Arabidopsis thaliana: one gene and its partner. The protein of the gene in region 1 interacts with the protein of each later gene in a pairwise test. Each region holds a gene or a part of one and is shown on either strand. Other genes may lie near its edges. The genes, in order: AT5G52970 and NAPRT2.

Region 1 (15,655 bases):
GAAGGTACCAATGGAGTTGGTGGATGGAAAGGCCAGGGTAACTATCGGGTCCTCTCATGGCTGGGTAGCTACTTTGAAAGACGATGGAATAGTGCGTCTCCAAGACGATCTAAACCTGGTTGCATCTGATACAGATCCGAAACGCATTCCCCTGCCTCCTCTTGTGACTCTGCCTCATTGCCAAACCAAAGTTGTCACCAACGTCGCCATGTCTTCTTCTTCTCCTGAGGATGAAGACTGTGTTGTCGCTCTCAAGTTCTTAGGACCTCAGCTCAGCTTATGTAGACCAGCTCAAAGAAACTCCGAGTGGACCAACATCAGAATCGAAAACCCATGTTTCTACTCATCCCCTGTTATGTTTTCCAAGAAAGACGGCACGTTTCGAATTCTTGGATCTGGAGGTCACCTCATTGGATCATGGGATCTCCACAAACACAAGAACAAACCCAAGATTCAGAGGTTGCGATTCAAAAACCTTCCCGAGCTCACCAAGACCAAAAGGGAGCTCTTGCATTCGTGTTGCACGAGCCAACACTTGGTTGAGTCAACAACCACAAATGAGACTTTCTTGGTTAAGTGGTATAGGAAGGACACATCCAATGGCGTGGTGAAAATGAAAACAAGAGCTGTAATGGTCTTCAAGCTATACGAAGAAGGGAAAGCTGTTTACACTCAAGACATCGGAGATCTCTGCATTTTCCTGTCAAAGTCTGAACCCTTTTGTGTCACTGCTAGCTCCTTTCCCGGCATGTGCCCTAACGAAGTCCACACCTTGGATGTTGACGAACACGCACTTGTCGATCTGTCTGATTCCTCCATCATTAGTGGGATTTGTACATTCGGGTCCCCTTACTATTTTCCACCTCCAAAAATTGACTCTTAGTCTTAGGCTGGAATTGAGTTCTTGTCCTAGAAGAGTCTTGTTGTCTTTTCTTAGACCTTTCAAATATCAAAATCTATATTATATATTTTCTGTGAGATTGAGATGCATATGCTCTTGGATATAGCAAATTTGTAATATCTGCGATGACTCGTCTTCATGATCAAATGAATATGATGAACTAGAACTCTGCTCTTTGGAAAATGGTTCTTTTCCTACCTTTGTCAAAGATGCACATGAATAAGTACATCTTGTCCTTTGTGTCGTGATAAGTAGACTTGATTTGAATCTCCCAAACACAACCAATGACCTTTGTTTGAAATTGGAACCAAATTGATTCACTCATTCTTGTATTAATATCTGATTTTGTAAAAAAGTACAATGAGATTCCATCTACGTATAGGGTTTGAATTACTAACTCTAACAAAGAACATCCCACTCAAACTCTAATGATACATTTTCTTTTCCCATTTTTAGGCTTCATTCACTTGTAAGTGTACCTAAGAACAATCATCCTGAAACAAAGCCTTTGGTACTGAACTACGAGGCAAAGTCTCACATTCGTAGTCATCTTTGTTACCAGTTCGTATTCGTTTGGTCTCTATTGTTGTCATTGGTGTCTCACATACTCTATCATATTCCACTGATCTTTGCTCCTTCTTTCTTTTGGCCGTTCTCTGTTGCTGGTCGGCCTTGCCTTTAGAGTTCTTCGTTTGTTTTGGTGCCCAGACTCTACAAAGATCAGGCATCCAACTTGTGAAACTCGAGAATCTTCTTGCCCTCTCCCTCATTCCTTGTGCTTCAACCTCTTTCTTAGCTTCTCTGCTTTCCTCAGTGTTTTTCTGCTTACTCGTACCAGGAACATCTTCATTACTTTGACTATGATGATGATTTTTGAAATTGCTATGGATATTTTCTCTCCCTGATTGACTACTGTCTTCATTGTTCATGAAACTATCTTCAAGATCCTCATCAGTGAACATGAGCAGATCCATCTCTGTATATATTATATTGACAGCTCCTCCCAGAATATGCTGATACCTGAGAAGGGGCAAAAGTAAGATGCGTTAGCATGAATACACATAACCAAGCTACAATATACGTGCTGAGAATGGCATTATATACCTGGCTTTTATAGTTTTGTCTACATACTTATCAAGGCTCCATTCACCAAAGAATCCGCCATCTAACTTGCACTGAATGCCCTCAAGGAACATGCAAATCTGTTTTGCAAACTTCTGTGTCACAGATTCTTCATTTCCCAAACCTTTCTTACATCTTAGAATCTCCATCCTGAAAAGAATCTGCAGCTCGTATCTTATAGCTTATTAAAGAAAACAGAACAACAATGCCAAACAATTCAGCTTAGATAAATGAAAAGAAAGCATCAGTAAATGAATAAGTTGGCTACTGTAACCAAACAGAAAGTAAAAGGATACTCTCTAACGATCCTACTGGGTCCAGCTTCATCACAATTCCGCTCACTAGCCACTGATGATGAATCTTTCTTTTTGAACTTGGCAACTAAATCTTTCGGATCTTTCAGTAACATCTTGGTTAGCTCGTCAATGACCAACAAGAGGGTTCCACTCTCACAGCTATAGTCCTTCTCAGCTCTTTGAGAGGAGTAGAAGACACAAGACTTGACAAGCCGCTCGGCAAGAGCTGACAAGTCTATTTCTTCAGACTCTATCCCTTGCTTGATTTTACTAGGAAGACTAACGAAGAAATTCTCTGATGATTCTGATGCATGAACATACGTATTACTTTCCTGCTTTCCGGATATACGATTTCCACTCAAAGCAATGTCCTCTTCAGCTAGAGGTAAAGGAGAACTAGCTTTATCTGTCTCTTCAGAGGAGTTGTTCTTTTCCTCAATTGGATTTGCGTCCACATCCTCCAATGCATTGCAATTACTAGCCACGGATAAGCTGCAACCTCTGGGTTTACTAATCTGTTTCATCCAGCATTTCAGAAACTTAAGTTTCTTCGACTTGCTATACTTGAAGAAATAAACATCTTCTAGATCTATTTGACCATAATCTTTCACTGATCTGCAGAACTCCTCCCAGCTAATGTCATTAAGAGAATTTTTCCTTGGTTTTCTTTTATATTCGCTACAACTGACTTTCTTCCTGCTATCTTCATGATCCACAGTTTGAGGAGACACTCCATTGTCAAAAACACAGATTAAGGCCGAGGAAAAAGTGAAGGGCTTGAGGATTCCTGTCCGCAAACTACCATTGCTATTTGAAAAAGATACCAATGCTGAGAAACCTTCCCTATAGAGATAACTTAATAAGATCTGCCAAATGGGTGATGATCTTTTGGCTACTCTCTCACCCGTCTCCTTTCCTAATATCTGAAAAACCAGGTCAGCCCAAAACGCACTCTCCTCCTCCTGATCTTGATCAGAGTCCTGGGAGACTTGATGAACAACAAAAGTATCGCAAGTATACCTCTCTAGTTCAATAAGATCATCACACATCCTCAAGGCCTTAATACTGAGTTTGGTACTCCCATCACAAAACTGTTCAACTAGAGAGTCATGATTGACTGGCTCAGTCCCACTAGCTAAGTTGATAAACTCATCACACCTCTTCCCACTAAATATTTCAGAAGAAGAAAACTCTAACTCACCACCACACTTGCATTCCATAGGTTTACCATTAATATCTGCAATCTCAAGACTAGCCTGAAGGGTAAATTTCTGGCTAGTAGATAGCTTTGGGGAAATACCAATTGCTGGATATATTAATCCAAAGGGAACAACTGAAGAACCAAAAACAATTGAATCAGTAGAACAATGCCCCCAACCCAATTCTCTAATCCCACTATCGAAAAACCCAGACTTCAATCCCAATTCACATCTTTCATCTCCAGATTTAACATCAATCCAGCTTAATTGAATATCTCTATCATCAAATAACTCATTCACACAATAAAAAATCTCCCTTAACTTTGACTTAAACAAATCCAAGTCGCTAAAACACTCATCACCACTCTTAACATCAAGAAACTCAGAAACCCAATCCAAATCCCTAGAAATTGGGGAAAACATCACAACCAAATTCGACCTCACAACATCTAATCCACCATCAGTAAATCCAGGAATCATACCTATCTCCGGATCTCGAACCACCGGTTCCCAAGCGTAATCATAAACAATCTGTCGCAAATTCGCCGCGACATTAACCCCACGAGGCGATGCCGCCGTCGCCACCGTGGAGCTAGATCGAAGTTCATATCCTTTAACCGCGTCGATGGCGCGTTTGAGAGAGACGAGTGTAGGGTTAGGAAGGTCAAATGAAAGCGGAGAAGATGAAATTGAGAGTGACGAGAGCTTTGAGGATGATAAGAGAGAAGAAAGAGAAGAAAAGAAGAATTTGAAAGAGAAGAGAGAAGCAGATAAAGGAGGAAATAAGAGAAGCTTCTCGGCGGCGGAGATCACGACGGCTAGGTATTGCTCCGAATTGGGTTTGATCAGAAGCGGATTAAGATCTATCAAAAGCACAAAACGCTGCGTTTTGGCGTATAACAAATCTCCAGCCATTGAAATGAAGCAGAGAGAGAGAAGATTCGATTTTGGTTTTGAGGTTGAAGAAGAGAGGAGGGAGTGAGCTACGAGGTTATGTTTTTGGCGGGAAACATATTGCCACGTCATTAGATTGTCAATTTATTGGGTCTTGCTTACTACTACATCATAAGGCCATTAATGGCCCAACAAGAGTTTTAATTTGGTGACGTGGCAAAATTGAAGATAGAACAAAGATTACGAAAACTTCCTCCGCTTCAGATTTTTCCTTTCTGCAAGAATTTTCCTGGGAAAATCAGGAATTTTCTCGGAGAAAATTCTCGTAATCATGAACTGTGTTTCTGCATTTGAATTTGTTCCTTCAAGTGCTCTATTTCCATGTGCACAATCATCAATCCCTGCGAAATTTCTTCACATTTTGAGCTCAAAAGCCTCGATTTCTCCCAGATGTCGTAGTTTCGCTTCTTCTTCTTCTTCCACAATTCGGAGGAAGCCTCTAACTCTAGTATCTTCAAAATCTTCAGACGCGGAGGAGGTGTCAGATACGGAGGACGAATGGCTGAAGAAGCTACCAGAGAAGAACAAGCCACTGTATTCGCATAGCTTACCTTGTATCGAAGCGTGGCTGAGGAAATTAGGGTTTTACCAAAGTAAAGACGATAGAGCTGTTTGGTTGATTCAGAAACCTGATTGGCATGCTCAACTATCTCTTGATGTCACTGATCTCTGCATTAGGTATGAAGCTGATTGCTTTTGTAGTTTCATTGAGTTCCTGAAGTTCTCAGCTCTGAGATGTTGTTGATAAATTCCTGTTTTTAGTATCCTAAATGAATGATTTCTTAACTAGTTTAAGTGTTTGTGATTGTGTAGTTAAAGCTAGTTGTGTTAACAATGAGGATATTGATGTTGAGAAGAAGAGTTTGTTTTTAGCTTGGATAAGTATAAAAGTATAGCATAGTGTGATGAATTAACCTCTTGAAGATGATTGTGAAGTGAATCCTAGTTCAGTATTTGTAGTGCGGAACCGATTGTTATGCGGTTGGTTGCATCCGCTGTTGGTGCTATCTAATCTTGATGTTTTAGTCCAAGGAGTTGAGAATTAGAAGCTAATTTAATGTCTCTGTGTATCAATCCAACAGACCAAATAAGTTGATGCATTGCCATGTTCTCTGATCATTTCCTTTGGAGTTTCTCTATGTGTAATCCCGCCAAGTTGGACTAACTAGATTGCTTGTTATGTAGGTACATGAAAAGTGGGCCGGGAAATCTAGAGAGAGACATGGAAAGAAGGTTTAGCTATGCGTTGAGTAGAGAAGATACCGAGAATGCCATACTTGGAGGACCTTAAAGAATAAAAAGAGTTTGTTTGAGTATCTTTGTTCTTAAACTTTGCTTTTTCAGTAGTTTCTCGTTATATGATGCATTTGCTTGTTTGATCCGAAAACCATTTTTATCACAATTCTTTAGCAGGTACGGTCTTTCAAAACTTGAACAATGAATGTGAAAATTATACGCATTTGGAACCAGTAGGTAGATAATCTTACTGCATCCCACATGAAGAACCTATGCATTATCTAAGCTATTACTAATATGTGAAATTTGGTGTGTAGGCATCGGTGACTTTATTTACTGATGCATAACTTTCACATCTTCTGTTTCAAACCTTTAGCAAGACTACATTTACGTTAGTCAACTCAAAGTAATGAGAGAAAATTAATACATCAAACTTAAACATGAGTTACATATTGAACACAGAATTAAAAGTGATATGTTACTCTTGATTTATCAAATAAAGCCTTGTTTCCTGATACTATAAATTCTAAGTTTCTTCCGATATCCAAAACCATCCCAAGCATCTAAGTCTAACATAAAACCAAAAAGAAAGAAAGAAATACGTAGAAAAAGGATTAACAAGAAAGATGGCAACCAAAACTTTTCTCTCAATCTCTTTAATGGTTTCCCTTTGTGCTGCCATTTTTGTCTCTCAAGGAGTAGCTCATATGCAAACACCACCAACGGTTCCAGGACTTCTCCTACCTGGCTTACCTATTGATCTTGTAAAATGTTGGTCGTCTCTCTTCAATGTTGAAGGATGTGTGCTCGAGATCGCCAAATCAATTTTCTCTGGAAAATTCGAAAATGTCGAAGCCGCATGTTGCAAGGCGTTTTCAACCTTAGATGCTAACTGTTGGCCCCATATGTTTCCGTTGAATCCATTTTTCCCTCCTCTCCTCAAGGACAACTGCGCTCGCATTGTCCCCAACTCCCCTACACACAACTAAGAACAAGAATTATTGCTGGTCTACGCTTTTAAATTAGTCATTAGCTCCAAAGTCTAATAAGTTTCAATGTTTATTTTGTTAGCAAAATGTGAACTATATCTTGGAAGAGTTCTCTTTTTATAGTTTTTCTCAATGACATAAAATTTCAATATTTTCCTTTTATATAATAACTCTTATAAATGTGTTTTGTTGGTTGCACAAAAGAAAAACATTGGAACCGACCAAAAAAAAAAAACATTGGAACCGACCAAAAAAAAAAACATTGGAAAATCGTACCTCAAAATGCAATAACCAAACAAACCTTCTCATATGGATCCTATAGTATGGTTATTTCCGGTTTAGTTGGTTCGGTTCTGTACCGAAATTATATCGAGCGTTTTAACGTTATCCAGAACGAAGCAGAGTAACGAAGAGTCATGGCGATGCTTTTTCGACCTCCTCCTTCACAATGTAGAAGCTTCTCTCCTTTTGTCTTCAACTACAGCTCCAGAGAAGTTTCTTCGTCGTCTCGTCTCTCCTTGAAAACCTCCGGCGACGAAGAAAACTGGGTTTCACGTTTCCGGTCGAAATCTCTCAGTTTGGTGTTCTCTGGAGCTCTTGCTCTCGGTTTATCTCTATCAGGTACGTTTCTTTGTTCCTTTTGACCAAGATCATTTCTTTTTGACTCAATATTGAACAACATGCTCTTTGATTTCAGTAACAATGTGGATGTGTTGCAAAACAATCTAAAATATCACAAAGTTAGAATTTTTGTTTACTCTGCAATCTCAAGCTTGTGACTTTAATTACTTGTTGCATTGGCTTATCAAAGTCAGAATTGTGAAATTTCGGACCTAGTCTCTTATTCCATAACTATGAACAATGCATATGCAATTTCAAGATTTTAGCTGTCAATAACTTTGAATCTCTTTTTGCAGGCGTGGGGTTTGCAGATGCAAAAGTTGGTGTTAACAAACCAGAATTGCTTCCTAAAGAGTTCACTTCTGTTATAGATGTTGCTGATTTCCTCTCTAATGGTCAGGTATGCATGCTTGTACCATCCATCTATTTTTGAGGTTTGATTAAAGCACTTGTTTCTTGTTAATGTCATGTGGATCTATTTGCTTATTCTGTAGATTTTTAGTGTATTTCTGATTTTGAATGTTTTCGCCGCTTTTGGTTTTCTTTTCTTAATGATGTTGTTCTTTGAGAGTTATAGGAGAAGAGAATTGCTCAAGAAATCGCTAATCTTGAGAAAGATACAGGATTCAAGTTGAGAGTCTTGGCTCAAAACTATCCCGTTACCCCTGGTATGATATATGCTTGGAAAACAACATACTTGATCTCTATAGAAGTTTACTTAGTGACATTTCTCTGTGTTTGCAACAGGACTAGCAATCAAAGATTTCTGGCAGGTGGATGATAGCACAATTGTGTTTGTCGCTGACCCGACTTTTGGTAACACCCCAAACCTCATTGCTTAAGTTCTTGAAGTATCCAAATGGGAAACTGATTGTGATAACCGGATTTGACACAGGGAACATATTGAATTTCAATGTTGGAGCTACGGTTGATTTAGACATACCTCGTAGTTTCTGGAGTCGACTGGCTGGGAAATACGGCAATATGTTTTACTGGAAAGAGAAGGCAAGAAAGCTACCTCGATTAAAAAAACCGATGATCGCCACTTTCTTTGTTTTTTGTTTGCATGTCTAAACTGTTTACAATATGGCTTGAAACCAGGGAGAAGATGCATCTATTGAAGCTGCAGTGATGGCGATATCAAGTTGCTTACGAGAACCAGTTGGTCGAAACAACTGTGCAGAGATCCAATGAAGTATATGACCCCATCAAGCGTATATGTTATTATCATAATATCATTGTATAGATTGGCACCAAAGAGATACAGAATTTGTAAGAATGAATCCACGTCTAGTAGTAACCTCTCTCCATTTCTCAGCTTCACCTACTCAAACAAACAGTTTCAATTGGTTACTTGTATCTTTTAAAACAAACAAATAGAGAAACCAAAATCAATAAACTGGAATAAGATATTTCAAATTGTAACAGCGAAACCAGACTCATGTTGAGATACATTTACATTAGTCAACTAACTTAATGTAAGAAAATTCAATACATGAAATCTCTAAATGAGTTACATTTTTAGACAACATTTAAAATTGATCTGTTACACTTTGAGTTACTTTTGGTTTATCTAAGAAAAACTTGTTTCGTGATCCTATAAATACTACCTTTCTTGCTAAATCCAAAAGCATCCAAACATCTAAACCAAAAAGGAAACAAAACATATCAAAGGGTTAACAAAGAAAGATGGGAAGCAAAACTATTCTCTCAGTCATTTTGATTGTTTCCCTTTGTGTTGCCATTTTTGTCACTCAAGGAGTAGCTCATATGCAAACACCACCGACGACGGTTCCAGGAATTTTCCCACCTGGCTTACCTATTGATCTGGTAAAATGTTGGTCGTCTCTCTTCAATGTTGAAGGATGTGTGCTCGAGATCGCCAAATCAATTTTCTCTGGAAAATTCGAAAATGTCGAAGCCGCATGTTGCAAGGCGTTTTCGACCTTAGATGCTAACTGTTGGCCTCACATGTTTCCGTTGAATCCGTTCTTCCCTCCTCTCCTCAAGGATAGCTGCGCTCGTATTGTCCCCAACTCCCCTACACACAACTAAGAGCAAGAATGGTTGTTGATCTACACTTTTAAATTAGTAGTTAGCTTCAGAGTAATAACCTAAGTTTTATAGTTAAATTCTATGTTGGCAAAATGTGAACTCATATTTTATGAGACCTCTTTATAGGTTTTCTCAATAAAGTAGCAATATTCATCGAAATCTTTTCTAATGTGTCTTTGTCATATATATACGAATAGTAAGTATAACCACAAATATTTTTGAGATCCTTAAAGCAGAGAAAAGGATATTATAGATTAAGATAGAAATGAAAAAGCTCCAATTTTATTTAAACAAACTTAAACTCCAAATTTTATTTAAACAAAACTTAAATACAGTATTGTGCTTCTTGTCTTTTGGGTACAAAAATTTTCCATTTCAGGCAGGTACCAAGCTAAATTCTCTACAAATCTCTTAGTTTTTCTCAGTAGGAAAAGAATGCAAACAAAGTTCTATTGATTTTTCTTAGTAGTGGGAGTGAACGATGGAGAGCTCTGAGTGAACGATGGAGAGCTCTGAGTGAACGATTTAGAGCTCTGAATCTGATCATCTTTAGACGTTTTGATTATAAATAGAAGCGTTTCCACAAGCATCGCCAGAACTAGTCCAAGAATCCCACCAGCAGCACTCTGAAAGGAAAAGAAAAACATGATTCACAAAAATCCTCTTGATGGTTTTCAGAATCTGACAAAATGAGAGATACCAGAGCGGGGTTGCGGTTGAATAAAGCTCTGAAGGAAGCGTATCCAACCAAATATCCAGTGAACATGGTAAGACCAACATGTAAACCTATAAAACGAGTTTGCAAGAAAAGCAAAATCTTCAGTAATGTGTAATACTTTTCCAAGAACAAAGTAACCGAGCGACAATGCTTACCAAAACCGAGCTGGTCTTTGTAAGAAGAGAAAGGCTCTTCGACTTGTTTCTTTGGTGTTATATCTTTAACAAGCTCAGCATACTCCTTCCTCTCTGCTATTTCTCTGAGCTTCACTAATCTCAGTTTCAGTTCTTCGCTCTATCAATCGAAAAATCAGATCAAATCAAACATGGCGAGACATGAAGAGGTTTAAACATAGATAAGGAAAACTTCAAAGAAAGAAACCCAGAAGCATCCTTGAATTACACTCAATAGAACCGCGGCGACGTTTCTTCGATTATGCTCAACTTTTCCAATCAATTCAACAGAATTGTGCATATTGGATTTGAATATGAATCGAACAAAACTATGAAACCACAATTTTGTGCTAGTTTTGACCAAGAGATAACTAGAAATCTTCCATAAATTTCTCTAAACTATACCAAAAGACAAATCTCTTTTGTTGCTGGATTGTTCAAGCAAGTTCAGTATCATCTATCTTTCAGTGGAAACTATTAACAGCAGATTAGTGAGCAGAAACAGAATCTAATTAGGTCCAATTTCGCCGGATTCCAGATTAAATGAGCCTGATAGCGAAATTCCCCAGCAAAGAAACTTGATGTAGAAATGGAGGTTCGTGTACCTTTTCTCTGGGTTTGGGACTGGTGAAGACGAAATTGGAGCCGGAGAAAAGTCCCAACAAATCCGGTCTGGTCGACGGATCGGATCCGGTCCATATAGCGCGGAGCAATTTGTACGGAATGGTGTTCTTCGAGCGAAGATCGGAAGCAATTCCTCTGAGCTCGTCGGAGAGACGACGATCACCGGAGGCGAGAGCGAGAAACGATCGCAGCGGTTCAGTGGCGGAGAGAATCAGACCAGAGCCATTTTTCGGGTCGGGTTGATCCATCTTTGATCGGGTCCAAACACTTGACGTTGTTCAGGCGGGTCGGTTCTCCGCGATGTTTTAAGCAACGTCCAAAATAATATATTTGGATTAGGTCCCTGACTTATACAAGTATCAAATACAAGACTCTTATCCGACGTGGCAATATTTGATACGTGGCATTACCCTAGCACGTGTGAATTACTCGAATCACGGCGACGAAAGCTTAGTATGGGGGTATTATCGTAAATTTCAAAAAGTGAGTCATTAAACAAAATATTCTATTGGGCTGTATCTATCTTTTTTTCGTTTCGTCTTCTCCAATAATGATCTCCATTTCTGTTATTTTCCCTAGAAATTTTCGCAAACCCTAAAAAGAGAGAGAAACATAAAAATCTCCATTGAAACAGATTGGATTGAGCAAGAGAAAGAGATCATGTATTTCTAAAAAGAGAGAGAAATCCTCTGATCTCCTCTCTGATTCGATCGAGATCGCATCATTTCCCTAATGATTTCAAAAACCTAAAACGATCTCTTCTTTTTTTTCGCTTCGATCTCCATTGAAAAGGATGATTTCAAATCCAAGTTTATTATCGTACACTTGCATTGCGAAAGGAACCGTAGTTCTCGCGGAGTTCGTTTCAAGGCAAGAGCCAGGAATCGAAGCTATAGCTTTACGATGCATCGAGAACACGCCTCCTCATCATTCAATGTTTTCTCATACAGTTCACAAGAAGACGTATACATTCGCAATCGACGATGATTCCTTTGTTTATTTCTCGATTTCTGATGAATCCATGGAGAAACCTGAATCATTCTGGGTTTTGAATCGTTTGAGATCAGCTATTGAAGATCTGATTAAAGACGGTGGATCTGATGTTGAGACGCTGATTAATCCTGTTTCTCATTGTCTTCAATTGAAGCTTGATCCAGTTTTCGCTGAGATTGTTGGTGTTGTTGATTTGGAATTATTGGATATGGATTTGGTTGGATCACCGAGGAGTGTAGCGAGAGAGAGTCGAAATCCGAGTATTGATTCATCTAAAGGAAGAAGAGCTGCTTTGATGCCACTTTTGGGGAAACCATTGAAGGCGTTGAAGAAGAAGAAGAGATTGCATAATGAAGCAAAAGGGGGAGATTCTTGTGAGGTTGGTTCGATTCAGGAGATATCAGAGAAGAATGTTGATTTATGTGGGAATGGTAATAATGGAGTCTTACGCAAGGAACTGAGAAATGGTTTGTTGAGTGATCATCATCATAGACAAAAGGCGAAACAGATTTGGAAGAAACATGTTTGGGTTGTGTTGATGTTTGATTTCTGCATCTGTGCTGTTTTGTTTGGAATTTGGCTTTGGATTTGTGAAGGGTTTCAATGCATTCAAGGGTAAAAGTTATCATCATCTGTGTACATCTCCAAATTCATATTCTTTGAATCTGCATCAAAATTTGATCATTTGACATCTTTTTTCTGGGTATCCGTTTTTTTGGATCAAATCTGATCCCTTTTGTTATCTCTCTGTTCTTGTCAACTTTTTTCATCTTCTTTGATTTTTAAAGTCGCAAAAAGTGTTGTTTCCAGGAGGAAAACTAGGGTATAGATTGAATCCTGGTTTACATGTTAATGATGTTGTTAATTGTACTTTGGAAGTTAAATCATTCACAAGCAAAATGTGTGTTGTTATTATCTCTTTTTTTTTTCTCGCTTCTCTTTTGTTGTTTGATTCCATAAATGGTGCTGTGATTGAACGTGGGTTACACAATAATAGAGGACAACAAAAGATGGTCTCAGATCCAGTCACACGTTAGTATTTTACTAGATATATACATTGTATCTTTAGTAGTCGGCGTATTTAAAAATAATATTCCCAACGAAAATGAAAGTGAATCCGTGAATCCAAAATCTGTAAGTCTAAGGCTTAAGAGTAGAAAGATGATTACATTACAGACATTATAATAAGTGAACGAAGAGGTTTTGGAAATAAGAAACAAAAGAGAGGGAGAAAGTGTTAAATAATGTGTGTCTCGGTCTCTAGTCTCAGCCACAAGGTGTGAGTTTCTTGTTACCTGCACCGCGAGGATTATCATCCTTCCAATCATCGAAAGCTCTAGCTTTCATCACAGCTTCTTCGTCTTCATCATCATCTTCCTCGTCTTCTTCTTTTCTTCTTAGAGGTTTATCATTGTACCATGAGGTGGTTGCTTCTTCAATGGCTTTTTTCGTCTGCTCTTGCCAATCATTCATTATGTTCATCTCTGTTAACCCAGCATCCTCTATGCACATTGTTGGCATCCTACAAAACCCAAGTTTAATCACCATTTTTAAATCTCAAAAAGGATTAAGATTTTGTAATGAGCAATATTTTGTGTCTACCTGTGACTTGGTTGGAAGACCTGAGCTATCATTCTTTCTCTCTCGGTAGAGAGCGGTCCACCCACGATGCTTGCTGGACCGAATATAAGAGGTTGGTTCTTGTGTTCGTGACCTTGTGATACCGAAGCTCTTCCTTCTAACACATCTTGTGCAAATGTGGCACAAGTGATTGGTTGTGCCGGTTTAGAGTACTGTATCCTTGCAGCAGCGTCTCTGTGCCAGGTTTCAGCTTTCTTTGTACGATCATCAAGAGCATCCCGAGAAAATCCACCCTCTCCATCCTGATCAAAATATCATAACACGTTTTCTTCTTTTATATGTTTATCAAATAGTTTTGTTCGCACCTAAAAAAACTAACACCACGGTAAGCTACCTTCAACTGTCTTTCCTTTATTGCAGAGAGCATTTCCTCTTCTCTCTTTAGCATTTCCAACAGATCAATAGCCTGTAACGAAGTTCAATCATAAGATAATGCCTCCTCAACTTGTGACAAATCATAGGGTTCTAATGAAATGATTTTTAGACAAACCTTACAAATAGCCAAGTTAATTGAGGAGAGCCAGGCCTGCAGAGGAAAGCAATAAGACAAGAAAGCTTAGAAGAAAAAATCGAATTAGAGAAAGCAGCAAAACAAAAAGTGGGACAAACCTCTCTCTCTTCTTCGCTGTCATCATCTGGAATATCATCTTCTCCAGATTCAACCGGAGTCGACAAAGCTGATGCTTTAGTGGAACGTCCACGTCGCTCCTTCCTCTCTTTAATTTCAAGAAGCTTTGCCTCTGCAGCCTTTTGACGTTTGAACCGAGCTATCTACAAAGTACCATAATCATGAAGACACAACACGCATTTCAAAATCCGAAAACTTTAAACTTCATTCTCGTCAGAACATAAACAAAAGAAACAGGGCTGAATCTACCTTGAGAGCCCTTCGATCAGCAGGTGCACCAGAACCTCCTCGTGAAGAAGCCTCCAACTCCTCATCCGGAACAAGCTCCATTGCCTCACAGAACGAAAAGAACTCCTAGACACAATAACAAAACTATACATCAATCTCAAAAAAAATCCAACCAAATGCTCATTCCCACTTGCAATAGCATCAAAGGGATACAAAAACATGTAAACACTCAGCAGAAAACTAACCTTCAACTTAGCATACGAGGCTTTGACAATCTGAATCCGGTCCTCCTGTATGATTTTCTCTGTCAACTCCGCAAGATAATAAGGCACCTATAATCACAAGACAATATAATCCCTCGTCACTTTATAGAAATGTCAACTCGCAACACAATCTTATGATCTCAACACAATCTTATGGTCTCCACACAGAGTAAGTTCAATGGAAAACGTTACAATCCAAAATCTCAGACTCCATTTTGAATTTCAGTCAGTAGCTAAAACTAGAAGCATCAGGACAAGCTAAAGTTTTTCACTTTCAGATCTTTCCACACCAAAACTAATAACAAAACTAGAATACAAACAAATTACAAAAATCCAAACAACAGAGACTCAATTGCATACCAAAAGATATTTGAGATTGTTGGTGCTAATATCTTCTTTAGTCTCGTTAGACGAAAACAGCGCCAGCTTCCCGATCATATCTTCGCACTTCTGAAACATCTCACATCCTTTCTTCACAACATCCTAACAAACCAAAGGAAAAGAATGAACTAAGCATCCCCGGAAATGTCCAATTCAGTAAAAACTCGCGATTCGGATTCGAAATACCCATTTCAGATAAACACCCTAATCGAATCTGTATATAAAAAAGAGGTAGAAGCTTCCACCTGATCAACACCAGACTCTGAAGCAGCAAGATGAATTTTCCTAGCTTGCTCGAATAGCACCGATAAAGGCATTTCCTCCATAGCCAAACCACCCATCACAGGCAACAATTCAAAATTCCTTAATGAAATCGAATCCACAAGAATCGAGTTTCTTCGAGAAGAGGATCGTCTTTTGAATTTTTTTAGGGTTCCAAATCGAAATCTGACTAATTTACCACGAGTACACACAGACAGAGGAGAGAAAATGTTAACCGCGAAGAGCTTTATAAGGGACGGTTGAGATTTTGCCGCGTCAGGTGAAGTAGATAACTCGAATTCTATTAGCCGTTAGATCTGTCCACAACCTCAAAAGTCAAAAACCGACTCAGTTGTATAAAAATATCAAGTC
Region 2 (17,404 bases), on another chromosome or scaffold:
TTTCTGTAACAACAAGATAATTCTTGGTAATGAATAACCAGAGAGAATATGTCAAAACAAAAGAATCACAATCGAATTTGTATATATACCTTTGAAAGTATTGAATGTTGGACTTGAGGTAGTGGTTGAACAAAGACATTAAGCACTTAACCTCAAACTTATATAATAACAACAAAATTTGTTAGTGTCTATAATTGTATGAGAATATAATCTACTTGTGAGATCTACAATGTAAAATGTCACACCTTGTCTCTTCCCCAATTCTCTGTGGAGAAAGCAAAAGCTGAGACTGTATGAATACCCAACTCGAAGCAGACCTCGGCTATCTCTATAATTCGTTTAGTTCCAGCCTCGTGGCCTTGTGCCGTCGTCAATCCGTCTCGTTTGGCCCATCTCCGGTTCCCATCTAGTATGAATGACACGTGTCTCGGCATCAGCTCTCTTTGTAGCTCCTCCTCTCGGACAACACAAGTTGCCTCATCACTATACAACCAAAAAATTATTGCTAAAACACATATATATTGTCCAAAAATTCTTCCGATGTGGGATAATTCTAACAAAAGGCTCTCTCTATGTGTACTTGTGTAGTATAATTTCTGTTGATAACTAGATATTAACTAGTGATTATAAAATTGAAATTAAATTATGATTCTCTTCTCGGGAGACTTTCAAAAATACCATTTATATGATGTCACTCTTGTACAAAACATTTTACAAATTATAGATTTACAAAACATTCCACAAACATAACTTACTAAAAACTAAAAGTATGATTAAAAAACCGTAAACTACCGTTTCTCGTTGTCATCATCGTCTCGAGCGGCTTTGAATTTGATGAGTCCAAGGAGTTTTGTCAAGAACACAGGGAAACATATATAGCTTGTGATAAAGAGACAAGGGATGAGAAACAGAAAGGGGAGGGCTACTAGAGTAGAGAGAAGAGACAACATTCTTGTCCTTGCTAATGCTTAATTTGGCTTTGCTTTAATGTTAATTTGTTCGAGTTATTGAAGCTTTGTCATACACATATATATACTAAGAATTCAAAGACGTCGCTTTGATCAATCAAACTACGCAAAGACAGGTCTTACGTATTAAACTCTTCCGTGGAGAATCATTTATATTAAGTTAATCGATGTTTGTAACGGTTTATCTATCTTTTTCCAGCTGCATTAGGGCTTTGAGAACCCACGTGATTGGTTTCTTGTGTCACAAGACTTTTATTGGTTTCTTGTGTCACAAGACTTTTATTGGTTTCTTGTGAAACAAGCCTTTTTTGGTTTCTTGTGTCTGGTGCTTCTGAAGAGGATCGGAAAAGGAGACCCTTCTGTGCGCGACGGTGACTTTAGGTTTTGATTCATGGATTTTTGCTTCGTGACGTGTCACTCTCTGGGGACTTCAGTTGTTTTGTGTGGTCGAAAAGGTGGGCTAATATACTTTGATTTGACACTTAGACCCATTTAATCGAGTGAATTTGGATCTTTATCAATCTATTTCCCGCAAAAAAAAAGTGAATTGGTTTGAAGATGTTTTAATTAAAAAATCAGAAACTTTGCCTAGTTTTGGGGTGATGGTTTGGAGTTTTAAATTGTAATGTTGTTGAACTAGAGGAATCTGAGGTATTAAAGTTACTTGTTTAGCAAGTTATTGGTTTTAGTAACAACTGTCAACTGATACATAAAACATGCGTATAAAGCGAAGCACGGAGAAAGAAATAAACGCATCACTGATTTTATTCGATTTTTACCGACACAAATTACAATGATACGCAAGAAGTTTGGTAGAAATTACAGATGAACAAAACATAATAGAGAGGATGAAAGGTGGATCAAACCCGACAACCAAATCGTCTTTCCCTACGCTGATACGAAGCAAGAGCCTCTAGAAGCTTATCCTTATCGAAATCAGGCCAAAATACCGGCGAGAAGAAAAGCTCGGAATAAGCAAGTTGCCACAAGAAGAAGTTACTAATCCTCTGTTCTCCACTTGTCCTAATCATTAAATCAGGACTTGGGAAGTCACTACAATTTGTCAAAAGCTCTCTCTCGATCAATGCCTCGTCTACATCTTCCTCTCGGATCAACCCTTTTTCTGATTTCTTCACAAGACTCTTGCAAGCATGCATGATATCAAATTTCCCGCTGTAATCTACTGCCATGATGAGATGTTTATTCTTGTAGCCTTTGGTAGCTTCCTCTATCTCATGGATTTCTTTGAGGAGAGATTCAGGGATCTTCGTTTTATTCCCGATAACAGAAACGCGAACTTCCGATCTGAAACAAGAAGAGCTTGCTAATAAATGAGCTTACCAATATGTTAAACAAATTTTTTTTATTATATTTATATTTTATACCTGTGGAAGAATTTGATGTTGGACTTATTGCGGTAGTGTTGGATCAAAGACATCAAGTTATCAATCTCAATCTTAATAATAACAACAAATTGTTAGAATCGATAATTGTATGAGAATGTAAGCTACATACTTTTTCCAAAATGTCACACCTTGTCTCTTCCCCAATTCTCTGTGGAGAAAGCAAAAGCTGAGACTGTATGAACCCCCAACTCGAAGCAGAGCTCGGCGATATCTATAAGCCGTTTAGCTCCCGCCTCGTGGCCTTGTGACGTCGTCAATCCGGCCCGTTTGGCCCATCTCCGGTTCCCATCCAGTATGAATGCCACGTGTCTCGGCATTAGTTCTCTTTGTAACCCATCCTCGCGGACAACATAAGTTCCCTCATCACTTCACAAACACAAAAAGCCAATGTTAAGTCATGATCCAACCAAAACTGTCTTGTTTCAAAATACCACTCTTCAAACACCAAATTTTGTTTTTGTCCATATTCAAAAATACCACAAACTAGATTTTCAGACTTTTATAAATATGGTATAGAAAGTGTTTATAAGGGTTTTATAACATGTGTGGCTAGAAATTGCTTATAAAGTTTACAGCGTGGATATAACTTAAAAGATTGACATTTTGTATGAAAAAATGTATATGTGTAACACACAGCAGATTAAGTTATTGCTAATTGGCTAAATGCATGCCAAATTTTATTTGAAGGTTGTAGGTTTTTAATGACAAGTTTGAAAATTTTAGTTAAGAGAGTACTAAAACATATAACTACTACTAAAACTAAAAGTATGATTAGAAAACGCGAACTATACCGTTTCTCGTTGTCTCGAGCAGCTTTGATTTTGATGAGTCCGATGAGTTTTAGCAAGAACACAGGGAAGCCTATATAGCTTGTGATAAAGAGACAAGGGATGAGAAAGAGAAAGAGGAGTGATAATAGAGAAGAATCAGAAGAAAGAAGAGACAACATTGTTGTGACAACTTAATTTGGCTTTGCCTCGATGTTTGTTTGAGTTATTGAGGCTTTCTCATTTACAGTATATATATTAAGAAATCAAAGACATTGATCAATCAAACTACGCAAAGACAGGTGGTAATACGTATTACACTCTTCCTTGGTGAAACTTTAATATCAGTTAATAGAAGTTTTGTAACGTTATCTATCTTTTTTCCAGCTGCAAGTTGTAACGTTTTGTAACGTATTACACTAGGGCTTTGGAAGTTGGAACCCACGTGATTGGTTTCTTGTGTCACAAGACTGTGATTAGCACCAATAATTTTAGAGAAATTAATTAAACTCTCTTATTTTTCTGGCCAATTACGAGTCTGGTTAAAATATATTGACCGAAAAAGGTCTTTATAAATTACACGGAAAATGTTGAGATGAGAAGAATCCAAAACTCTCTTATCACAGTATGTTAATTACCAAAAAAAAAAAAAAGGAAGTAAAATCACAGTGCTCGCTGATGATTTTTCTTAAATCATGGAACGTACATGAATTTGAATTCTTCCTCGTGACACTCTTTGGTTGACATTTTTAACCAACAGAATTGTTTGCAGTTGAAACAAGCTTTTGAGTTTTGACCGTACAAAATTAGTCGATATGCTATACGAAGATCTCTATAAGAAAGATCTGTCGAACCGAGTAGTTTGAAAGATAGTTAAGCCTGCTACATGTGCAGTGTTCTCCAAGAGAAAAAAAAAAACACAAGAAAACATGGGGCAAGTTCATGGAGTGTTAGACAAAGAGAAAAACGTGTCGTAGTTAACATGTCTTAAAAAGGCATGCAGATAAAGTTCATGACAGAAGGATTTCATGGTAAACTATGGTCGATGTATATGCCATCATCATGTGGAAAATGAATCATATGCTAGCTTTGTCAAATAAAAGAATATATAAAAGACATCTCGTACACAATATTATATTTTAGATTGAATAAATAAGAGTTCAGAATATTAATATACTTCGCTGCTCTTTTGCTACACCATAATACTGTGTTGAAACGTACATAACTACATATATGTGCAAGAAGATGTTATTATAGCCATTAAACTTGATCCTAAAAAAAAATCTTAATTATTTTTCTTTTCATCTTAAATACTAATTTTGTAACTCAATCTTAAATGTGCATATGCTTTTATCAAGTGTTTTTGATAGCTATATTATTTTAATTCTATTTATATGAAAAAAACATATACAGGTGGAAGATTTCTTTGTTGAAATGCAAGAAAAAATAATTTCTATTTGTTGAATAAATGTCTTAAATGGAGAAAGCTCCTTGGATATCATTGCATATGTTAAAATTTTCTACATTTCAACAAAGAATATAGAAAATTTCTATGTTTTTCTTTGTTAGTGTGACAGAATCTACTAAAAAATACATATTTTTATGCCAATGGTTAATATGTTTAACGTTTTGTGTTTTAGTGATATCATACAAAAGTTTCTAGCTAGCTAGATTTTTATGCCAATGGCTCTCTCCATTTTTTTATGATTAAATTTTCAAAAAACTAACAAGAGAACTTTGTGTATTATTTCTTGGTTTTTTATACTCCAATGGTAGGTTCTCTTAAAGGAGGTCTCTTAAAAAAAAAATATTCATATAAATTATTTTATTTCATACAACTTAATATTACAAAGCATAAAATATTAAAATACATTTTTTGGAAATATTATAAAATAGATGTGAAATAAATATTATAATGTTTAGTTAAATATATAATTTTGTCATAAATTATGAGCTAATTAAAACAAAATTAGTAAACCAAAACATTTAGGGGGATGTATTGGATTAGGGATTTTAGAAGATTTTTGTTTTTCTTAAAAACCATATCAAATCTAGTGTTATTCAAAAATTAAAAGGTTTTTGTTCCTCTACTCATCAACAAATTAAAATTCTTATAATTTTTTTTTTTTTGTTTGGCTTGAATCTGCATGACTCACTCAAATTAGAAGCCAATTACTATCATCAAATTAGAGATACATTTAACTATGAAGCGAATTACTATCACCAAATCATGAGCTATATGTGTTCCATAGTTACAGAGTCTATCACCAAAATACATAACGCCAACAAAACAAACTCCTAGTCTTGTACATCTATGAAGCCAATGACTCAAAACATACAACATAACCATCATGAAGCCAATTACTAAGAAAAAGCAACAAAAGAAAGAGATAGATACAGAGAAAAGAGAAAATACTTGAGCAAGTTGGGACTGAGTCAGCTTCTTGTCTTCTCGGGCTTGCATGATGGCTTTCTTCAACTTAGTGGGCACACGATCACCTGATTTTAAAACCATATAAAGGTGTTAACGATAACCAGCATTACGAATCAATCAAACACATATGTAGACTTCCTCTCGCTAATAATGCAAACTGAAGAAAATATTAATAACCCAAGAGAACAGACTAGATTACTAGAATGACTGTACCCAAGCAAAAGCTGGTTCTTATGGGATCCAAATCAACAACACTGATCCCCATGCAACAAACAATAAAACGAAACAGATCAATCAGATAACTTCTTCGTTTTCTAAAGAACCAAATCATCTACACAACTAAATCAATCAAAGCTTAGTCATCTTCCTATCTGACAATGCTCTGATTCGAGGGAACGAAGCAAGGGTTTGGTGGGAGATTGGATTTGGGACAAACACATATAGAATTGGGTCATCGATTTGGTGAAACGAACTCGGAATGGTGAGCAGCGTCGAGAGAGACGACCAATAGAGAGAGTGAGAAAATTTCCCGACGGAATGAAAAATAAAGACACAAGGATTTTTTGTTGGTTAAATATATCAACCAACCACTGACTGCCACGTAGGAGGCTCTCTCCAGAATTATTTGTTTTGATTATTTTTAATCAACAACTTCAAGAGAACCCTATCAAATTGTGATACTCATATCATGACACTGACAAATAAAAGAGACCATGAATATGGTTAGGCCATATGCGATATGGCTTCAAAAACCAAGTTGGGACAATCTTATGTTTAGTCTTAAGTTTGAGTTCATTTTAATTCATTTTAGATACTATTGTTTGATGTAAAATTAAACTTTGATAAATAAATGTACCTAAATTTGGATTGATTTTTTCATAATCATGTTTAAAATTTTTGGTGTTATGCAATTCTGTTTTGTTTTGTTTTTCCATAATAAGCATCTGAACATTTTTACAATATTTATATATTTTAAGAAACTGAAGTTTTAAGATGTATTAATCTACATTAACCTTTTCTATTTTAATGTTAACAAATATTATATATTATAAGTACAATATTCATCAAATACTATAACATATATGTGAAATGTAAATATTTACTACTAATCAAATATCATACTGCATATTTGATTGCAAAAGAGCTAAAAATCATTAATATTGCACATTAAAAATAGTCAATAAACTAAAATCATTAAATACACAAATATATCATAACACAGCAAGTGTGTACCATTATTAATCAATAGATTTACGCTATACAAGTTTTCCGAATTATGTATGTGAAATAAATCACACCAAAAAAATGTATTTGAAATGAAAAAATTCCCCGCCTCTGTAATTTAAGTTTTTTAGATTAAAACAGCTAAACTCTTTTCATTAATTTATTAGAGATACAAGATATTGTTATTTGTTACCAATACCAATATGTAAATTTTTCTGAGTAATTATTATAATTAGTTGAATTTGGCTACCATATGCCAATTTTCAACACATAAAATTCTTTTAAACGTGAAAATTCCAATAATCTAAGAGCCAACAACCACGAAAATTAAACCTCGTTTTAGTCTAAACTCTAAAATGAGAAATAATTAGAAACCAATAAAGGCTCTTAAAGAAAGACTAGGTCAAGTTCAAAGCAAGTTTTGCTTTGTGTGGTGGTCGTCGTCTCTTTCTTTAAACACACTTGTTTTTTTCTTTTTCCTTTGACCACTCCAATATAAACAACCAAGAACCAGTGTTCCTCGTCCATTCACTCTCTCGTAATCACACACACACTCACTCATACGAAGCCAATTGTTCCACACAAATTGGAAGCGACGACAATGGAGCCGAAAGAGAACGGCTCAGAATTGGGTCAGAAGATCATTGACGGACCAACGAATCCAATGGTCACACCTTTACTCAATGATCTTTATCAATTCACCATGGCTTATGCTTATTGGAAAGCTGGCAAACACAACGAACGATCCGTGTACAACACACAATCTCTTCTCATGCTCTGCTTTTGATGTTGAATTCTGAATGGTTTTGTATATTTGAAATTGTTTTTGTTTCCTTTTCAGTTTCGATCTGTATTTTCGTAAGAACCCATTTGGTGGTGAGTACACTGTGTTTGCTGGATTAGAAGAGTGTGTTAAGTTCTTAGCCAATTTCAAATTGACTGATGAAGAAATCGATTTCGTTCAAGAGTGTTTGCCTGGATCTGAGGTATATCAAAAATCTGTTTGTTTTTAGATTGTTATTGATTAAAGTTTGGATTTTTAAATCAGGGTTTTATGTTTGTGATTCAAATTAGGAAGCTTTTTGTGATTATCTTAGAGGGCTTGATTGTTCTGATGTTGAAGTTTATGCAATTCCGGAAGGATCAGTTGTTTTTCCTAAAGTACCTCTCATGAGAGTTGAAGGACCTGTTGGTGTGAGTCTCTTTGTCTCTTTCATTTGTGAAGATTGTTTAAGGAATAGTTTTCTTGAATGAATGATTCATCAGTTGTTGTAAAATCTCCATAGGTTGTTCAATTGTTGGAAACTCCATTCCTCAATCTTGTCAATTTTGCATCTTTGGTAGCTACTAACGCAGCTAGGCATCGCTTTGTTGCCGGAAAATCTAAGAGTCTACTCGAGTTTGGTGCTCGAAGGGCTCAGGTTTCCTATAAATCTCTCTCTTGTTTTTTGATATATTGCCTTTTGTGTTGTTCTTTCCATCTCTGTCTGATGTTATTAGTGTTGGAATCTTAGGGTCCGGATGGTGCAATAAGCGCATCAAAATATTGCTACCTTGGAGGTTTTGATGCAACAAGGCAAGTCTTGCTTTTTGTTTTTGTTGATCTGGAAGTAGGTGAAAGGGAATGTGGAAATGATGTGTTTTGTGTTGTTGGGTATTTTGCCAATGACAGTAATGTAGCAGCTGGAAAACTTTTTGGGATTCCTCTTCGTGGAACACACTCTCATGCTTATGTTAGCTCATTCATGGTCAGTTCACTTCAGCCAAAAGTTTCAATTTTTATGTGGAGGTTACATACTTGAGTTAGCTAGTAGAGACGATAACACAAAGTTTCGTGAAAATAAGATATTCTTGTCAATGCCTTTGTTGCTATAACTTTATTAGCCATGGTTCTGATGCACACTTAATATCCTCGCTCATAACAATATCACAAAAGCATTTTCGATATAATTAGTTAACTTTGGATTGCAGAGTACTGATGAGATTGTTGACAAAGTACTTCGTAGTGCTGATGGGAAAACCACGTGCGAGGATTTTGTTAGTCATGTTCAGACATGGTTAAAAAAGATTCAGGTTTGTTTATTGCACATTTTGCTCTTCCTCTTCCTGTTTTCTAGTCTCAGGACCATTGTTCTATTTCTGCTTCAACCCTTTGCTTGAATCTTTGTCACAGTTTTTCTTATGTTTTGTTTCTTTGTGGATGACAGTATTCACCATCTCTAAGTGGCATTTTCTCTGAGACAAATCAAAGCGAGCTAGCAGCTTTCACCTCATATGCACTGGCATTCCCCAAAACTTTTCTTGCCCTCGTAGATACATACGATGTGAGCATTAAACACCATAGTAGATAGCTCATTTGAGCCTTAGGATTTCTAATAAACTCTTATATTAGTGTTTTGCTGACTGTTTTACAGGTGATGAAGAGTGGAATCCCTAACTTCTGTGCAGTTGCTTTAGCACTCAATGACTTTGGGTGTGTAAGAATCTCTTATCAATACCCGATCGTCTGACTTGACTTTGTACTTCTTCAGGATCATATGGAATTTGAGATGCAATTGATGTTTATTGTGCTGCGCAGATATAAAGCATTAGGTATTAGACTGGATTCAGGTGATTTAGCTTATCTATCTAGAGAGGCCAGAAATTTCTTCTGCACGGTAGAGAGAGAACTAAAAGTGCCTGGTTTTGGGAAGATGGTCGTCACTGCTAGTAATGATCTAAATGAAGAGACGATTGACGCTTTAAATAAACAGGTGACTCCCTAACCCACTCTCAAATGCCATGCCCCCGAAAGATTGATTATTATTAAGCAGTGTTTTTTCTTTCATCTCTATAGGGACATGAGGTGGATGCTTTTGGCATCGGGACCTACTTGGTCACTTGCTATTCACAAGCGGCCTTAGGTTGCGTTTTCAAACTTGTGGAGATAAACAATCAGCCTCGGATTAAACTTTCTGAAGATGTTACAAAGGTTAAAACTCTCTCTCTCTCTCTTGGTGTTCTGAACATTCAATGTCACATTGCACTTAATCTGATTATCATTCTGATTCGTTTAGGTATCAATACCGTGTAAAAAGCGAAGTTACAGATTATACGGCAAAGAAGGTTACCCTCTGGTAGATATAATGACTGGAGAGAACGAACCACCTCCAAAGGTAAAACGAAAGATAACTCTCTCAAAGATTTTAATCTCATTACCTTATTGCATTTTTACATAATATCTTTCTTGATATCAAAGGTTGGTGAGCGTTTACTTTGTCGTCACCCATTCAACGAATCCAAAAGAGCATATGTAGTGCCACAACGTGTCGAAGAGCTCCTCAAATGTTATTGGCGTGGAAGTGCAGGTAAAGATTTTCCGGTACCGTAGAGTTATTAATGACAATGCTTTTCACTGATTATTGTTTCTCTATACCAATGAAGATGAAGCAAGAGAAGTATTACCGCCTTTGAAAGAGATAAGAGACCGTTGCATCAAACAGCTCGAAAACATGCGACCTGATCATATGAGGAGATTAAACCCAACTCCTTATAAGGTATGGTTTTATCCGACAAACATGTTTTTCAGTTTCTGAGAAATCTGTGTAAATGTTTTTTTCTCTCATGGTTTACAGGTTAGTGTAAGCGCAAAGCTGTACGATTTCATCCACTTCTTATGGCTAAACGAAGCACCTGTTGGTGAATTGCAGTGACAGAACAACCAAAAAGAAGAATCTGGTTTTGGTTTGGTGTAATGTATATAATTTATATACCACAGCATCACAAATATGCATTTTTTTCACTTTTAGTTTCTTTTTCTTACAACATTTTGATGATCTCTCATTGTCGTAGTAAGTTTCATTTTCTTACTGAGGAAAGAAACTCTCTGCGTTCACTGGAACTTTGTTTTCAACTGATTCAATAAGATTTTATATTTACAGCTGTAAACATACTGGAGACTGTAAAAACATTTACTCAAGTCAACGATTTTGGATCAGGTTTAGTTTCGTCATATGGTTGACAACTTACTGTTGCAAACGGATTGGTAAGCAGTTGAGTTAATTGAGTTTTTTCTAGCAGAGATTTGAAGAACATTACCTTTCTTCAAAAACTTCTTTAGGCGTTACTAGGACGTTTGGGGTGGACCTAGTCACTAACCACATATTCAAAATTCATTTCCAAAAAGATGAATTATGGAATATGAGAATAGAAAAATACAACAGAGTAAATGAGGAGTAAAACTTTATTACAGAAACTTACCAAACAGTAAAAAAAAATATGGAATATAAGGAAACCATTACTTAACGAAAAATCACTTAACAAGAATACAAGATGACTAAAAATGACAAGACGATAATCCATCCAAATTGAGGTTAAAAACAAGTGATAGTTTTGGTCTTATACAACAGAGTTATACAAGTGTAACTTTGAATTCTTATGGTCTCCAAATAGCCATGGCTTCGAGGGCAGGGCACTCGATATGGGCGTGGGTTTTCTTGGATGAAAGTTAAATTTGTTGATATAAAAGAAACACATAGTATACACAAAACTGGTCGGGACCAATACTCTTTTTTTTTTTGGCTCCGTTCATATTTTCAAAACAACAATTCTTTAGTGAAAATTAATAGATTGATTAAAGAAAAAAATGTTGAGAAAACATGAACTTTCATATTGTTGACGAAAAAAACATGAACTTTTCAAATGTCATTTAAATCCTAAAGTTTAGTTTGACTTCTTAAAAAATAGTTAATTTAGTTGACTTGGCCATTCCAAACATATCTTTAAGTTTCCCTTAACAATATCACGAAAATAAAACAGCCCTCGATGAAAGAATTGTTTTTGTTTATTTGAGTCCCTCATTTAACCTGTTTGTGATCTGAATTAAGCTTACATATACAAAATGGTCCATGATCATTTGTTTTGAAGATTTTCTGAAATGGTCCATGAAAGAGTTTTGTTTCCAAGTCTTCGGATAATTTGTCTAGTTACAAAATGGTCCTGCATCATTTGGAATAATGTATTTATGGCATTATCTCAAAATTCTCTAACCATTGGGCCAGTACAGTATGCCCTTTACAGATCTAAAGTTTTATTATATGCTAGTATTATTATAATTAAAATTTTGAAAAGTTTCAAACCAAGTTTCGTGTGATAGAATGTTTGTGATTTGTTATTAATCAATAAACTTTAAGAATAACAGAATCATCTTGAAATTCTGATTGGTCGAGCTCAATCATATTCGGTGCTGAATATGAAACAAAAAAATTAGTTGGTGTGGTTAGCTGACATGGTTGGTACGATTTTGTTCAACAAAAAACTGCACTGAAATTGTCGATTAGTTAATTTAAGTAGTAGAACAATAATAACTAATTTCATAGTACTTTTTAATCCATATCAAACGTTGTAAGAAATAAAATTCTAAAATAATTTTAAGCGTTTAGGGCGGTAAGATAATCTACCAAAATGCATTTGATGTTTTTGGTTGAATATTATTAAAACGGAGAAGACAAAAAAATGAGTGTGGTTGTACCTGTGTGGGGATAGAATTTTATCAGTCACCAAAAACATAAAAATGTACTAAAGAATATGCTAAAAGATACACAAGATTCGAAGAAGAGGTAAAAGTAGAGCTAAAAGACACGACTTTTCTGGGCTCTAAAATCTGTTAAAAAGCTTTCTTCTTTTTCTGTGCAATTTCGTACTTCTAAAAACATTCCTCCTACAAATCTTATATTTCCAAATCAACAAAATAAAATTAACTTATTCCCTGAAATATTAAAATCTAAAAAGTTAAAAAAAAAACCATAAACTTCTTCTTCTTCTTCACTCTAACTTTACCCATTCGTAACGTCCTTCTAATGGCTTCTCCTTCTCGAAATCGAAATTGTACCTAATTAAAAAAAAATAAACTCACTCTTAATTTTACCTCAAAATCAATTTTAAATTATGAATAAAAAATATATTATCTATAAAAATCAAACTCACAAAATAAAATAAAAACTTACTTCTTCTTGAATTTTTCTTTGAGTTGTTTCTCAGCTTCCACAAAAAAATCTTCAATTTCCGATTCCGTTGGCATCTCCGTCATCAATTTCGCCTTCTCCTCCTCCTCCGCCGTCACCGTCTCCTCCATCGTTTTCCTCCCGCTACAACAACAATCTAACGATTCTTTAACCGCCGATTCAAATTCCGATGAATAATTCTCCATGGATTTACTTAATTCTTCTTTCTCCTCCTCTCTCAGATTTTCAAAAAGCTTCCTCTTCGTACCCCTAAAATAACTCACAAGCAAGATTCTAAATTTATTGAAGAGAGAGTCAAATAAATAACCGGGAAAATAATAAAACCTTCAAAATTCAAATCATTTTCAGTTTTTTTTTTAACACTCACCGTCGATACGTCGACGTTTCAGTGTCACCATCTTTATCTTCCTCCTACAAAAATTTCAAAATTTCAAAAAAAAATACATTAACATTAAATGATACATATACAGTTACAAGAATCTAGAATCAACAACATTAAATAACCTCCAGATGTATTAATTCTTTCTTCTTATATTCATTGCTTCCACTACAAGACGACGAAACTCCATTATCACCGACGACGGAGACAGAGCTTGATTTTTCCGATCTAACATAAACAATTCTCCGGCTCCGTAGCTGCATATACGTTGACGAAACTCCAGCTTCTACAATTCCTTTAGCTTTTCTATATTTTCTCACCATCTTCGATTTAGGTTACGTGTGCGTGAAGTCACAATCTCTGTGAGAGAGAGAGATATGATTGAGAGGATGAGGAAGAAGAAGAAAGAAAGATGATGAATTTGGTTTTGAACGGTCAGGATTGAGTTTTGTGCTGTGTGTGATAGAGAAATGGCGTGTTTTAGTGGTCCCGTTACAGTGACGGGGAATCTTTAACGGGGAAACTGGAGGCGCCGTTATTTGGATGTTATGGAGTTACTTATGCCGATGGTTTGTTTTATTGACACGTGTCGGTTATAAACGGTGACTTAACGGAACGGGAGGCGTAATAATTGTGGTGTAACTAACTATTTTAAAAACCCTCTCATCTATTGGTAATTCACAGATTTGCCATTACGCGAAACCGTTTAAAATGTTTTAAATTATAATTGACAAGCTTTTTGTATAGTTGGGATGAATTTTATAGTTTAGGTAAAATTAGAAAGTTCATATTACTTTAAAATGAATTGGATAGAGACTATATATAGATTATGTGTATAGTATAGGTGGATTGTTACGGATAGCCTAAAAACTACGTACCTGTGAGTAAAATAAGGTAAAAGTAAAACTGACACTAGAAATTATATTTTTGTTATCCCTGCGTATTTGCTTAGCCTGATGTCAAGTTGTCAACAGCACGTGTCGATCGTGATATATTGGGCTTAATAAGTCATAATATAGTAAAGGTTTCTAAGAACTAAACTTGGCCTCCATCACTTCCCATGGGCCTTGTCAGCCTTTCTATGTTTTGTTTTTGTCTCAAAGCATGAACAAAATGGAGTGGCGAGTGCATTCAAATTACCATGTCTTGCTTTAAAAATTAAAAATATTTTTTTTTTCACTGAAAGATAAATATATACTTCATAATTTCCAACCAAACATACAAAAAAATGTGGATCAAGGACAATCATTCTAGATCAACCAGTATTACACTAGGCATTTTTTTCTTCCTCAAAAAGTTGTTTTAACCAAAAAGAAAACCTAGTTGCTACATACGATTAACGGCGATCATTTTTTGTTACGCTCTTGGCAATAAAGTGAGCATCAAGATTAGATCTCCTTAACTCACCAAGCAATTTTCAATCCAAAAAATTCCCTAGTTTCTCAATCAAAAGAAGGGACTGAAATTTACATGAAGGTCATGCAGACGACTTTTGTTTTAATTGAATAACATAAAACTTTTACTCACTTTACAAAAAAGTATGAATCTATAACCCTAGATTTATAAAGATATTAGAAAACTTTTTATAAATCTTAAATTAATAACAAAGAACTTTAATAAACTTTTTAAAAATCTTGATTGAATAACAAACGATTTTACATAATCGTTAAAGTTCTTTTAAAATCATAAACCAATAATACCCCCTAAATATTTAATTTATCTCCTCAAGTGTTGCGCCCATGTTATGTAAAATTTCATCCCTATAAATACATCAGATGGTCCAAGAGGTTTCATGCATCAATACATAATACATTTTCGCCTTCGACTAAATATTATAATTTAGCTTCTTTTTTTTTCTAATTCTCGTCTCGGTTTTTCTAGTAATGGCGACGATTAATGTTTACGTTTTTGCATTTATCTTTCTTTTGACTATTAGTGTTGGTTCAATTGAAGGCCGAAAACTCACCAAATTCACCGTAACGACGTCTGAGGAAATCAGAGCTGGTGGCTCTGTATTGTCGTCGTCACCTCCGACTGAGCCACTTGAGTCGCCGCCGAGCCACGGGGTTGATACCTTCAGACCTACGGAACCTGGTCATAGCCCCGGTATTGGACATTCCGTACATAATTAACGGAGAGGAACAATAGCATCGTCTATGTGATTACATGTTGAAAATATGATTGGCCTGGTGACTTTTTTTTTCTGAATATGTATTTACGTACAGTTTCGTCATATTCAGTTTCTTGCAAGTGTGATTGTAATAATATTTATTTGATTAAATTAAGATTGATGTAATCCATCTTATTTTAAAAGCACATACATTTTTTTATCAGGTTCCAATTTTCTCATATATTTTTCTATCGAGATGTGTCACTCGCTTGAACTAAGAAATTTTTCTATCGAGATATGTCATTCGCTTGAACTGAATCATACGTAACTCGATCTAATCACAAACCGATTTAGGAATAGAACTATAGAAGCAATTTCGATTACTTGTTTATGTCTTCAAAATCTGTACGTAGAACGAATAACTATCTTTGAAATAATTTGGTACAGATATTCCATATCTGCGTTTCAAAATTTGAGCCAGACATTATTTTGCATGGAGAAAAACCTAAAAGTTTGTATTACGTAATATTAGTCACTGAAAAACTTTAGTTTGTTTGTTAAAAGTTTTAGACGGATGTTAGTATTTGAGAAATAAGCAATATACCAAGTAAAAGATGGTTAAGAATTTAGAGACAAATAACGAAAACTGAAGCTATATTTCCATTAACGAAAAAGTAATCATGTATATCCATTAACATAATCTGTATTTCTTTTAACTAAATTATATATTTATAGCTACTACTTCAAAAATTAAGAAAATAAAAAATATTTCCAAAATACTGATTTACAATTCTCATACAAAATAATAATTAAGACAGTCAAGAACCTAAGAGTATCATTAAAGGGGGGATATTAGGGAGATATTAGGAGATTCTTAGATTGTAAATGATTAAATTTAAATGTTAATTGAGCAATTTTGCTTAGAGGCCCTCTAAGCTAAGAGATCCTCTGAAGTAAAATGTGGTGGTGACGTGGCATGATTTGGTTGGTTGGAAGAATAATATTAAAGCCGAATTTTTTTTCTTACCGTTAATTCTTCTACTATGTATAATAATTTATAATATGATAGTAGAAAACGAACGAGATACTTACACTTACTTTGATGTCTCTGAATTTGTACAACCGGAATCAACTAGAAATGCACAAGTGGATTTCACCTATTCTACATATATGCCTTCAAATCTCGAGAATATATTGGAAACTCGAACTCGAATTCGTAATCGACAAGCACATCAATAATTGAATTTGATTTGGTTGAATATATATGGAAATTTTTTAGCAGAAATTAATAGTTAAATTTTATGTTTTCATGTATGTTTTAATTTTTTGTATGTCATCTATGTATTGAATATTATGAGTTCAATAATAATTAAGTTTTTATATATTTTAATTTTTAAATATATTTTTTTTAAGAACTTCAACTTAATATACTACTATTGAGCTTGCCAAAAAATTAAAACCTTACCAAAATTCTTAACTACAAAATTTTACAAAGTTTACAAATTTTAAAAAAGGTTAAGGGCTCGAGAATTTTACAAGATCATAAAGCTCTACTAAATTACATGAAACGGTCTAGTCTCCTTTAATCTATTATAGAAATGCACAACTTGAGCTTGAAATGGTAGGTAAGCTATACATGTGGTATTTCTCTATAAATTTGTAAAAGCTAACCGTACAAAAAGAAACCAAATATCATGGGATTTATTAATTGAATGGTCTCTCCTTATATTGGACCAAAAAGCGTTAGTCCAATGATGGTGAGTGATATTCGGAGTGTTCAAAAGATTCTCTGTCTAGCAGCTATAAATGTTTCGTAGGCTTCAACAACCAGTAGGATTATCATTTCGCTCAGAGTTCGTATAATTTAGTAATTAGCAGGAATTCTTTTTGTTGGTTCAATATTTGTCAATAGTAGTAGTATTCTTAACTAAATTATGACACAATAATCTATGTTTTAATAAATAAACTTGCCTTGATCAAGTAAATGACATATTAATCTATGTTTTGTAACCTGGCAAAACAATTTTAAAATGATATATAAACTACATTTGTATGACTAATTTTCAAAGTAAAAATAAAAAATCCCACAAAACAAATTATTGTATTAATAATAT

What was found.
Region 2: the proteins of AT5G52970 (region 1) and NAPRT2 interact in a two-hybrid assay, tested with the Arabidopsis thaliana proteins (one large-scale study listed by BioGRID).

The regions. Positions count from the first base shown.
Region 1 is NC_003076.8:21,472,507-21,488,161, forward strand, and holds AT5G52970 (thylakoid lumen 15.0 kDa protein), read left to right. Parts: upstream 1-6,875; 5' UTR 6,876-7,113; coding exon 7,114-7,318; intron 7,319-7,614; coding exon 7,615-7,718; intron 7,719-7,895; coding exon 7,896-7,986; intron 7,987-8,065; coding exon 8,066-8,134; intron 8,135-8,213; coding exon 8,214-8,323; intron 8,324-8,419; coding exon 8,420-8,512; 3' UTR 8,513-8,750; downstream 8,751-15,655. Other genes in the region: AT5G52940 (hypothetical protein (DUF295)), read left to right, coding at 1-883; AT5G52950 (LIM domain protein), read right to left, coding at 1,381-1,921, 2,006-2,197, 2,320-4,433; AT5G52960 (tRNA dimethylallyltransferase), read left to right, coding at 4,744-5,150, 5,658-5,763; AT5G52965 (egg cell-secreted-like protein (DUF1278)), read left to right, coding at 6,335-6,697; AT5G52975 (egg cell-secreted-like protein (DUF1278)), read left to right, coding at 9,008-9,373; AT5G52980 (ER-based factor for assembly of V-ATPase), read right to left, coding at 9,823-9,999, 10,074-10,159, 10,247-10,385, 10,870-11,136; AT5G52990 (SNARE-like superfamily protein), read left to right, coding at 11,682-12,500; TAP46 (2A phosphatase associated protein of 46 kD), read right to left, coding at 13,148-13,403, 13,484-13,764, 13,857-13,928, 14,013-14,048, 14,132-14,293, 14,400-14,504, 14,624-14,710, 15,002-15,124 and 1 more.
Region 2 is NC_003071.7:9,964,419-9,981,822, forward strand, and holds NAPRT2 (nicotinate phosphoribosyltransferase 2), read left to right. Parts: upstream 1-7,184; 5' UTR 7,185-7,400; coding exon 7,401-7,549; intron 7,550-7,640; coding exon 7,641-7,785; intron 7,786-7,873; coding exon 7,874-7,993; intron 7,994-8,085; coding exon 8,086-8,220; intron 8,221-8,313; coding exon 8,314-8,375; intron 8,376-8,471; coding exon 8,472-8,547; intron 8,548-8,770; coding exon 8,771-8,872; intron 8,873-9,006; coding exon 9,007-9,123; intron 9,124-9,213; coding exon 9,214-9,272; intron 9,273-9,377; coding exon 9,378-9,552; intron 9,553-9,635; coding exon 9,636-9,770; intron 9,771-9,855; coding exon 9,856-9,954; intron 9,955-10,037; coding exon 10,038-10,146; intron 10,147-10,222; coding exon 10,223-10,335; coding exon of another isoform or gene 10,336-10,374; exon of another isoform or gene 10,375-10,413; coding exon 10,414-10,491; 3' UTR 10,492-10,789; downstream 10,790-17,404. Other genes in the region: AT2G23400 (Undecaprenyl pyrophosphate synthetase family protein), read right to left, coding at 1-3, 90-157, 246-483, 793-950; CPT (cis-prenyltransferase), read right to left, coding at 1,829-2,273, 2,354-2,424, 2,503-2,740, 3,166-3,323; ICK1 (Cyclin-dependent kinase inhibitor family protein), read right to left, coding at 12,602-12,668, 12,784-13,050, 13,169-13,212, 13,306-13,503; AT2G23440 (uncharacterized protein), read left to right, coding at 15,064-15,312. UniProt on the Arabidopsis thaliana protein: Catalyzes the first step in the biosynthesis of NAD from nicotinic acid, the ATP-dependent synthesis of beta-nicotinate D-ribonucleotide from nicotinate and 5-phospho-D-ribose 1-phosphate.